Macaca fascicularis: one gene and its partners. The protein of the gene in region 3 interacts with the protein of the main gene of each other region in a biochemical or structural test. Links are inferred from orthologs where the notes say so. Each region holds a gene or a part of one and is shown on either strand. Other genes may lie near its edges. The genes, in order: STAT1, MCMBP and MCM5.

What was found.
Region 1: the proteins of MCM5 (region 3) and STAT1 form a complex in vitro, tested with the Homo sapiens proteins (2 studies listed by BioGRID). The link is inferred for Macaca fascicularis from reciprocal best matches to the Homo sapiens genes MCM5 and STAT1.
Region 2: the proteins of MCM5 (region 3) and MCMBP form a complex in vitro, tested with the Homo sapiens proteins (2 studies listed by BioGRID). The link is inferred for Macaca fascicularis from reciprocal best matches to the Homo sapiens genes MCM5 and MCMBP.

The regions. Positions count from the first base shown.
Region 1 is NC_088386.1:86,678,584-86,682,234, forward strand, and holds part of STAT1 (signal transducer and activator of transcription 1-alpha/beta), read right to left. Parts: intron 3,449-3,651; coding exon 3,407-3,448; intron 2,190-3,406; coding exon 2,106-2,189; intron 1,534-2,105; coding exon 1,435-1,533; intron 321-1,434; coding exon 185-320; intron 1-184. UniProt on the Homo sapiens protein: Signal transducer and transcription activator that mediates cellular responses to interferons (IFNs), cytokine KITLG/SCF and other cytokines and other growth factors.
Region 2 is NC_088383.1:128,850,691-128,854,341, forward strand, and holds part of MCMBP (mini-chromosome maintenance complex-binding protein), read right to left. Parts: intron 2,669-3,651; coding exon 2,535-2,668; intron 1,374-2,534; coding exon 1,209-1,373; intron 1-1,208. UniProt on the Homo sapiens protein: Associated component of the MCM complex that acts as a regulator of DNA replication.
Region 3 is NC_088384.1:16,247,838-16,251,488, reverse strand, and holds part of MCM5 (DNA replication licensing factor MCM5), read left to right. Parts: coding exon 1-101; intron 102-2,075; coding exon 2,076-2,204; intron 2,205-3,489; coding exon 3,490-3,632; intron 3,633-3,651. UniProt on the Homo sapiens protein: Acts as a component of the MCM2-7 complex (MCM complex) which is the replicative helicase essential for 'once per cell cycle' DNA replication initiation and elongation in eukaryotic cells.

The DNA of each region.
Region 1 (3,651 bases), on a different chromosome or scaffold from region 3:
GTCCATATTTCTTTCTAAGGTGATATATGATTCTCACTTAGCTATAATAAACTATAGCTTGAAAAGCTAACAGATTTTAATACTTTTTTACCTTTAACAAAATAGCAGAGGGGAAAAGAGCAATTAGAGAGGTATTTTTATGAATTTCAATTCTTATAAACGTAACAAGTTAATATGCATATACCAAGAAGCTTCTCTCCCAACATGTTCAGCTGGTCCACATTGAGACCTCTTTTGGTGACAGAGGAAAACTGCCAACTCAGCACTTCTGAAAGCTGAGCCCAACGTGCACATGGTGGATTCAGGAAGAAGGACAGATTCTAGAGAGAAAACACCCAAAATCGAAGGGTTACTACAGAGACACCAGTCACAAGTGTGGCACTAAAACATATGTCCATCCCAAAGTTCAATTCTAGTTTATGTGACACACAGGTGCTTTCACAGTAGGGGAAGAGAAATACAGTCAATTTTCACTATTTACAGATGCACATTTGTGAACTTGTTTACTCACTAAAATTTACTTGTAACTCCAAAATCTAAGCACATGACGTCTTTGGGGTCATCTGAAGACACACCCATGCACACAGCAGCAAAGAATTTGAGTCTTTTAACACTTATGTTTCCAACTGAAGCCAAACAAAATGACACTCGCTTCCTGTTTCAGCTCTCATAAGAAAAACGTGTCCTTTTTGAAGCCTATTTAGTGCCATGTTTTTGCATTTTGTGATTGCTGTTGGTGATCACTGTTTAAAATGGTGCCCAAGCATAGCGCCACAGTGTGGTATACTGTTCCTAAGCACGGGAATGCTGGGATGTGCCTTATGGAGAAAATACATGTGTGAGGCAAGCTTCACTCAGGCGTGAGTTACCCAGTAATCCTGACTATAGGTGTAATGTTAATGCCTCAGCAAGTATATTAGATAAGGTGTCTTTAAACAGAAACACACATAAACAATGTTATGCATTGATGGGGTGACAAAAATGTTGTGACCAGAGGCTTGAAGGAACCTAGCCTTGTAGTTCCCTTAGGAGCAACAATTCATTATTTGCTAATTAAGTGTTCCTGGTAACTTCAAAAAACATAACTACTTTGAATAATGATAATGACTATAATTAATTAACAGTGAGTATCCACACTCTTAAGAATGGAGCATGCTTGTTTAGTAGATGTACACATTTTAAAAATAATAATGATGAAGTGGTATGGAATCACTGAGTGCCCTAGCTTACTCACATGGCAGAAAAATCATAATTCTCATTTCAAATACATATCCATGCTTCACATTCCCAGATTTACTCAAAAGCCTTAGAAATACCACAGGAGCTTTGTCACTTCTCCCTCAACAACTGGCCATTGGGGCTATTTCAGAGATGCAGCAGCGAGAGCATGGGGTCTGCTTAACCCTGGGACCAAAGCAAATGTATTTTCCATACCCTGGGTTCCGCCACCAGCATGTTGTACCAAAGGATGGAGGCCCAACCACTCGGGAGCTGGCTGACGTTGGAGATCACCACAACGGGCAGAGAGGTCGTCTAAAGGATGACAAAGACCTTGAAATCATCTGAATCACAGAAATGTCACCTTCAGATAACTGCTTAGCCTCAACTAAAAGCAGGGGATTATTTGTAAATTTGTACATATTTAATACTTGAAAATGAGAAATGTTAAGTTCTGTTCTTTTGTCCAGTTTAATTTGTCTTTGATATATCTTTCAGTTAAGAAATAAGTCCCTAAAAATAATAATAGCTACAATAACTAATTAAGGGGTATGCAATATGAGAAGATGAAAATTGTCACAATGAAAACACAAAATGTGGAGGGAGGGCAGAGGAAAATAAATAAGTCCTAATGCTTACTGTAAAAAAAATTAACATCAGCTATCTCAACTGGAACATTTAAGTTATAGAATTTGAAGGTTAATTCAATTCTCTAGCTTTCTGGACCATAAATTAAGGTTAAGGTAGTAGTAGCTGAAAAATATCATTTTTAAAACAATTAGGTAAATATCTCTAAAACAAAAACTGAGAAATAAAAATACACGTAACAATTAAAAGTAAAAATAATGAAGTTTTCCACCTCAGGACCATAAAAATAAAAGTCTTACCTCGAGGTCAATTACCAAACCAGGCTGGCACAACTGGGTTTCAAAACTAAGGGAGTGAAGCTCTTCAGTAACGATGAGAGGACCCTTGGAAGAGAAAAGGAAAGAAGAAAAGAATATAACCACTTATTCACAGATCCTGAAACTTTCAAAAGCCCAATTAACATTGCAACAGGCCACAGAGATCCTGGACCCAACCAGCAGCAAGTCCAAAGACTCAATATTGAATCCCTTCCAGATTTAATGATTCTGAGTATCAGTGTGCTCTGAAAGATAAGTGCCTGAAGTTATGGCAAGGATTATAGATTCAGAGCAATAAATGTCAATGGGGAAAGAGCAACTAATGGCTTTGTGACCTAAGGCTTCTCAACCCTCAGCTCTGTCTGCCTGCCCAGTGTGGCTGCACATCTCAATGCAGATGGGTGGGGAGGAGGTGAGAGGGCTGGGAGTAAGTGCACACTTGGGATTGTCTACTGCCTACCAGAAAGGCTGACTCACATCAACTTGGTAGGTCACAAGGTGCTTTGGTTTTGGTAGAAATGGATAGATTTCAAAGTGCCTTCATAGACATTACCTCATGAGAACCTCACAACTTAGAACTAGAGAGGTACAACTGCTAGACGCAGGGAGGTCAAAACAGTTCAGGTGCACACCAGGGCTAGAAGGCATCTTTGCACTGCCTGGGCCTGTGTGTGTCCCGCTGCTCCATGTGACCTCCACTGGTCCTGGTGTGGAAGGACTGCACGCTGTGTGTGCATAAAGGACGAAAGTGTTCTAAACCAAAACAACTCCAGATATTTCATCCTTTGTCCATAGTTCATTTCTGAATGCATCACAAACCCAACTTCTTAAGGATCACGTTGTAGGAAGGAAACTGATGCAAAGGCAATGCTTCTGGTAGGGGATGCCACGGCCAAAAAGCCCTCTTGGCACACAGCAAGGCAGTCATCAAAGTGGCCTCTCATTCCAACTCTGACAGTAACTCTCTGTGCACCCTTAGCTAAATCCTGCAAACTTCCTGTGACTCAATTTCTTCACCCGTAAGATGCGAAGAATACAAAAGCCCACAATAGCTACTCCACTGAGTGTCCAATGAATTTGTGTGCAAAATCGTTTGACAATAGTAAAGTACAAATGTGGTGTTTTTACTGTTGTCACAGATATACCAAGTACCCAGCTCACTTGCTGCTCTTCCCTGCTGGGTCTGAACTCCTCTGTGAGGTGTCCCCAGCCACCAACTGACCTGCCCTTGCTAGACAGACCTGCCTGATTTGGGCCCATTCACAACATAAAGAGACTCTCACCTCATTCGTTCTGGTGCCAGCATTTTTCTGTTCTTTCAATTGCTATAAAACAAATAATCATCTTATTAAACACCATGGTAATGGTCAAAGTTGCTATCTTCATTTACAAATGAGAACAAAGTTAGGACTAGAAAGAATGACAGACGTGACACTATCTTTAGAATGCAGAACATGGGACAAAATGGCCCTCGTTCTGGGTCCATGAGCAGAAGCACGTTTCCCCAGAGGCCTGATGGTGCAGACAC
Region 2 (3,651 bases), on a different chromosome or scaffold from region 3:
TCAGAGATCTACACACAGACACATCATAGTCAAAACTGTCAAAAGCCAGAGAATCTTGAAAGCAGTGACAGAAAAACGACTCAGTGTGTACAAAGGATCCTCATCAGAAACTAGCTGGCTTCTCAGTAGAAACAAGAGGCCAGAAAGTGGCGGGAGCACATACTCGAAATGATGAGACAGACTATAAACCAAGAATTCTACATCCAGCAAAACTAGCCTTAAGGAGAAATTAAGACATTCCCAGATAAACAAAAACTTAAAAGAGGGCTGGGCGTGGTCACTCACACCTCTAATCTCAGAATTTTGGGAGGCCAAGGACAGAGGATCACTTGAACCCAGGAGTCTGAGACTAGCCTGGGCAACACAAGGAGACCCCTATCTCCACATACACATCAAAGAATTAGCTGGGCACACTGGCACATGCCTGTAGTCCCAACTACTCAGGAGGCTGAAGTGGGAGGATCGCTTGAGCCTGGGGGGGTTGAGGCTGCAATGAGCCACGATCACAACACTGCACTCTAGCCTGGGTGACAGAGCGAGACCCTGTCTCAAAAAAAAAAAAAAAAAATTTTTGCACAAGTAGACCTGCCATGCAAGAAACACTAAAGGCAGTTCTTCGAGGTGAAATGAAAAGATACTAGGCAGTAACATGAACCCACATGAGGAAATAAAGGTTGCTGGTAAAAGTGACTGCATAGGCAAATAGAAAAAATAGTACAGAAGTCTTCTCTGTTTCTTTTTTCTCTAAAATTAGACAACTGCAAAAGCAGTAATTCTAAATGTGTTGATGTACATACAATGTATAGAGAGGTAACTGTATGACAGCAGCACAAGGGAGAGGAGAAGGACGGAATTATAAAGGGGCAAAGTCTTTGTATATTATAATTAAACTAGCATTAGCCACACAAATTTTTTTAAATTAAAAATAACTAAACAAACTGGCATTAATCCTTAATAGATGATTATACTAACATGTTAAGTTTATCCCCCTGGGGCAGCCACTAAGAAAGTAACTTCAAGGGATTAAAATGGGACACTGGAAAATATCTATTTCAAACAAAAAGACAATAATGGAGTAATAGAGTAATAAAAAAAGACATGACAGAAAACAAATAGCAAAATCACCTCATCAGTAATTATGGTAAATGTAAATTGGCTGCATACTGCAATTCAACACAGGGAAATCCTTTATTTTAACCTAGACATACCTTGGTTATTTCATCAGATATGCTATATTCCAAGAATCTCAAAAGGGTTAAATAAATGCGGAATTTGTTCAGCACGGAAGGCAGCACCGCTGAGAGAAGGCTGTTCATGTATTCTTCCATGTTTGGTGGAATTAGCTGGGGCTGTAAGTGAATCTGGCAGTCTGCCTGAAAAGAGAAGAAGTACACTGTATTTTCTGAGTTCCTAAATTAAATCTACATTTTTAAAGAAAGATGCATCATCCCTGTCAGCCCCTACAGGAATTAGAAAATACCATTTATTATTTAGGGGGAGGGAATAATTTTTTTTTTTGTATGTGTGCAAGACAGAGTTTTGCTCAGTCGCCCAGGCTGGAGTGCAGTGGTGTGATCACAGCTCACTGCAACCTGCCTCCCAGGCTCAAGCGATCCTCCCACCTCAGCCTCCTTAGTAGTGGCACCACAGGTGCATGCCACCACACCTGGCTAATTTTTGAATTTTTTGTAGAGACAAGTTTTGTCACATTGTCCAGGCTGGCCTCAAAGTTCTGGGCTCACACAATCCACCTGCCTTGGCCTCCCAAAGTGTTAGGATTACAGGTGTGAGCCACTGCACCCAGTGAGAATCTATTTTTAGTATTACTTTACATGCTTTATAACTACCTCAGAAATAATTATGAAAGTTAGCTTTTTCTTGGTTACTTCAATGGTATCAATAAGCACACAAAAATGTAGCCAACCTCTAAAAAGCAGCTAATTAAAAAGGCCTATCACACTTGCACACAGAGAACATATCCTTGAGCCATTTCATTCTTATCAAAGACTGTTTCTCATCAATCACAGGTGAATACTATTATACAGAGACTATAAACCATTTGACAACTGGGAGCATTTCCCATCCTCCTTAGAATTAAAAGCGCTCTTTACCAGCCGCTCTGAGGACATAACAGAGCATTTCACTGTAAAGCATGAAAATAACTACCAAGTAACCAAGGACATTTTCAAAGGAACTCTAAAATATTTTTCACATAAGATTAGCAGAAAACAATGGGTCAAAGGCAGCAAGAACAGAAGTCTGGAGGTTAAAATCAGGCAATCTTGCTATGCTTTGATGTGGGTGTTTCTGCTGCCAACAGCCTTGCTGGTCTCATGACTTGCTGATATCTGAGCTTGGCAGATGTAAGGTTTTCATCCATGGCAGTGCAAAATACTCAGTTCCCTTAATGATCAGCAGTCACAGTTTTTTTTTACAACAAATGTAACTTATTAATAAGCGGTACCAAGAAATAGCAAAAACGTAGGTATTTTTCCCATGTCAACCTCCCTCCATTTAAAAATGACTCATTGTACCGGGAGGAGTGACCTCCCCTCCGAAGTAATGAGAACGTTGATATTGCAGGGGAATTCCATCTGATGGTAGCTGAAGTCATAATCCACCTTCTGCCACGTTATGAGGTTGCTCAGGGCAGTTACATTATGAACACCTACGAAGGCAGGAAAACACTTTCAGTCATTTGACTTTAATCATCTCAACAAATCAGTTTTGCTGACACCAATGATAAGCCATGAAGTTTCTACCGCTTTTAATAAAGGGTATGAGGCGCTGTCCAATTTACTAAGCTAAACATCACTAAGTGTGTAGGCTTACAACACTCTTGGTCAAGGTAGAACTTTATGGGGCCAGGGGATCCCCCCACAAATCTAATACCTAGCATCTGGTATGCACCTAGACATAAAATAGTTCCCAAGCAAGCACAGTTATTTCTAAGTGGTGTATTTACAGGGCTAAAATAAGGAAACACTAAAACTACCTTCATACATAGATCAGCCTAGTGAATTTTACAGATTTTATATTCCCCTTTGCCTTAAACGTGCCCAGTCTACCTCATTTTTTCTTCTACCTTTACCTCTTGAGCTGATCACCAGCAGTATATTCTTAATTGTCTTCATTTGAGCACTAGTAAACAATCTGCTTCTTATGATTTTATAATATATTCTATAACTGAGGTTAGTGCAAACCATTTGATTATTTTTCAGATATTCTCTGAAAAACGTTTAAAAACTTTACAATGGGAGGTTAAAAAATAATTAGCCAGGCATGGTGGCGGGCGCCTGTAGTCCCAGCTACTCGGGAGGCTAAGGCAGAATGGCGTGAACCTGGGAGTTGGAGCTTGCAGTGAGCCGAGATTATGCCACTGAACTCCAGCCTGGGCAACAGGGCAAGAGTCTGTCTCCAAAAAAAAAAAAAATCTGTTAGATCAGCTTCTTCCCATTTCAGTTTTTTAAAAAGCTATTTGGGGCAGGTGCAGTGGCTCACACCTATAATCCCAGCACTGTGGGAGGCCAAGGCAGGAGGATCACTTGAGCCCAGGAATTCAAGATCAGCTGGGCAACATAGTGAGACCCTGTGTCTACCGTTCCTTACACTCACTGAATGAAAAATTTTAGGTTATATACAACTACACAA
Region 3 (3,651 bases):
CATGTCATCACTCTGCACGTGAGCGCACTGACACAGACACAGGCCGTGGAGGGCGAGATCGACCTGGCCAAGCTGAAGAAGTTTATTGCCTACTGCCGAGCGTGAGTCCTGGACGCAGGCCCACGGGGGTGAGGTTGCCCAGCTTCCCTGGGTGGGAGAACCCATTCCCCTGTCCTGCTCCTCCTCATGAAGAACAGCCCAGATGTTGCTGTTCTGAGGTCCTCAGCTCTACTGAATCTGCTCTGCTCCCTTCTCACCTTGCACTGCTCACTGGCTCTTGGCTTCAGTTTTTCCATCTCCACACCAAGCAGGTGGGATTAGATGGTCTTGAAGACCTCCTCGAGTCTGACATGCAGGGAGGCAGTGAAGTGTAGACATGGTAGACATGGGCTCTGGGTCATACCCGCCTTCACTGTGTGACTTTGGGCAAGTTGGTTGGCCTCTCTGAGCCTTGATTTCCCCAGGCCGATGTTTGCTAATAAGTGCTTGACATAGTCCTGCCCTGGGTAAATACTCAGTGAGTGGCAGCTACAACTTGATTGTTCTCACATTTTCAATAATAATAATTATATACATAGCACTGGCCAGTTGCAGTGACTCATGCTGTACTCCCAGCACTTTGGGAGGCCAAGGCAGGTGGATCACTTGAGGTCAGGAGTGTGAGACCAGCCTGGCCAACATGGCGAAACCCCGTGTCTACCAAAAATACAAAAATTAGCCGGGTGTGGTGGTATACACCTATAGTCCTAACTACTCGGGAGACTGAGGCAAGAGAATTGCTTGAACCCAGGAGGCAGAGGTTGCAGTGAGCTGAGGTCATGCCATTGCATTTCAGCCTGGGCAACAGAGTGAGATTCTGTCTCAAAAAAAATATATATATGTATGTGTACACACACACACACACACACTCACACGCTATTTTCTCTGTGCCAGGCATTCTGAACTATTATTCAGTACTTTCTATATGAATAAATTATAACCCTCCCCCAAAACCTACCTGGTTAGGTGTGCTATTATTCCCTTCCCTTTGTGGATGGGGAAGCTGAGGCAAAGGAAGTTAAGTAACTTGTCCAAGGTCACATGCCAGAGGTAGTGGAGCCAGGATGTGAACCCAGCTGCTTGCCTCCAGAGGCTGTGCTCTTGACCACAGTGCTTAGATTCTTGGCGTACAGTGCTTTGGTGATCTTTTGAAGAAGCTAAAACCCAGGGGTCGAGGGCTCTTTGAGTGCACTGCCAGTGGGGGCCTGGTAGATCCCTGATTCAGCACCTCTGACACAGTGAGTGGATAGTCCCTGGGTCTTCATCCAAGTCTGAGCTCTGTATGGCCCAGTCTTGAGAGGCTTGTGCCCACAGCTATGAGTCAGGGAGCCCTGGATGCTAATCTTCCCTCTGCACTAAGTCCCCAGGTAGCCTTGGGGAGTTCCCTCCCTCCCTCTGGGCCTCAGTCTCCATGTCCTTAGGATGGTTGAGCTAAGGCTTTCGGTATATCAGTGATTGTCATTTGACCTGGGGGCTAGAGGGGAGGGGATGGGGTAGGGTAGATGCTGATCAGACTTCCCCACACCTACCCTCCCAGGAAAGTCCGAGGTGCTCCCAGCCCCTGGACTACAGTCACTGCCAAGCCTCCTGTGGGTGTCATCAGCTTGTCGTGTCTTCAGATGTGTTGGGTGGAGGAGTTTGAGACTGCTGCAAAGCCCACCACCTAGTGGGCCTCCATGCCACTGTGATTGTGCCATTGTTAATTACATGTATGGGGGACCTTGTGGCAAGACACCACACAACGTCTAACAACGGGGAAGAGGTGGTTTTCACCCTGCACACGTGCCTGGCTTTTCTTCACCTGTTTTCTAAGAGAGGCACCCATATTTCTCCCCAGTGTTGATCTTTGTGGCAGCTGCCCATAGCCAGATTTCACTTAAATCTCTTCCGATTGTTGTCTTCCAGCCCATGTGAGTGGGCAGCTGTGGTGTGGTGGGAAGGTGCATGTCTGGAAGCCGGCAGAGGGCTGGGGGAAAGGGTAGGTGCCCTAAGAGTCCCTGCTGGCCTCACAGCAGCCTCTCCCTCCCGTCCTGCAGGAAGTGTGGCCCCCGGCTCTCAGCAGAAGCTGCAGAGAAACTGAAGAACCGCTACATCATCATGCGCAGCGGGGCCCGTCAGCATGAGAGGGACAGTGACCGCCGCTCCAGCATCCCCATCACTGTGCGGTGAGCAGGCGGGCAGGGCGGGGCCGGGGCAGGTGGGGCTTGCTTTACACGGCAGGGTGTGCCTGGCAACCAGGGGCAGTGTCCAGGTTTTTCACTTGGCACAGGCCCACAGTAGCTCTGGGCGGGAAGAGTCCCTTTGGAGCATAAGCTATGGCCTCCTTGATCTCATTGATCTGTTTTCCTTGATTTAAGGCTGGGCAAACCAGGACCCCTCTTGTCTGAATTTGGCCTGGCTTTTCTCCCATTGCAGGAAGCCTGAAGGGAGGGATGGACCCAGGCCTAGGAGTCAGGAGTCTTGGGTCGCAGCCTCTAGCCCACTGTGTGACTATAGGGAAATTTCATTGCTTCTCTGACCCTCAGTGTTTTTAGCTCCTAACTCTGTTCATTCTTGTGACTTAGTAGACAGTACAGTGGGTAAGAGTTGGGATTTACCTGGTTTGAATCCTGTCTCCAGCACTGACTGGTTGGAAATGGATTTGGCTATAAGTAATGGTAAATCCAAATAAAGTAGCTTAAAGAAATAGGAAGTTGATTTCTCTCTTCTGTAGCACTGTCTGGAGGAAGATGGTATGGGACTGGTGTGAGGACTTCTCAAGTTCCCCCTTACTCTTAGTCCAAGTTGGCTGCTGGAACTTCAGCCATCACTTCCAGGCAGCAGGAGAGGAAGGAAAGAGAGGTTCCCTTTTTAAGGGCACTTCATGAATTCCCACACAATGCTTGGGCTTACAACTTATTGGCCATAGTATGGTCACAAATACAACCTGGTACAAAAGATGTCTGGATGTGTCTTAGTGGATTGCTGTGTGCCAGTCTAAAAACTGGGTTTCCAAGCTAGTTGCAGTGGCCTACATTGTGATCCTAGCACTTTGGGAGGCTGAGGCAGGAGGATTGCTTGAGGCCAGGAGTTTGAGACCAGCCCAGGCAACATAGCAAGACTCCTGTTTCTACAACAAATAAAAAATTAGCCAGGCATTGTGGTGTGTGCCTGTAGACCCAGCTACTCAGGTGGCTGAGGCAGAAGGATCACTGGATCCCAGGAGTTCGAGGCTGCAGTGAGCTATGATCATGCCACTGCACTCCAGCCTGGACAACAGAGCGAGACCCTGTCTCAAAAAAAAATTGCAGTGCTATGACTAAGATCAAAAGGGAGATGGATTATAGGGACACCTACCAGTCTCCACCACAGTCTTAACACTTTGGGCAAGCACCTCCCTGGTAACAGGGTGGCTGGGGAGGAAGGGAATAGCAGACCGAGGCTACCCTGAGCGCGCTGTTGCCCCCACAGGCAGCTGGAGGCCATTGTGCGCATCGCGGAATCGCTCAGCAAGATGAAGCTGCAGCCCTTCGCCACAGAGGCAGATGTGGAGGAGGCCCTGCGGCTCTTCCAAGTGTCCACGTTGGATGCTGCCTTGTCTGGTACCCTGTCAGGTGAGCAGATGCAGGGGAC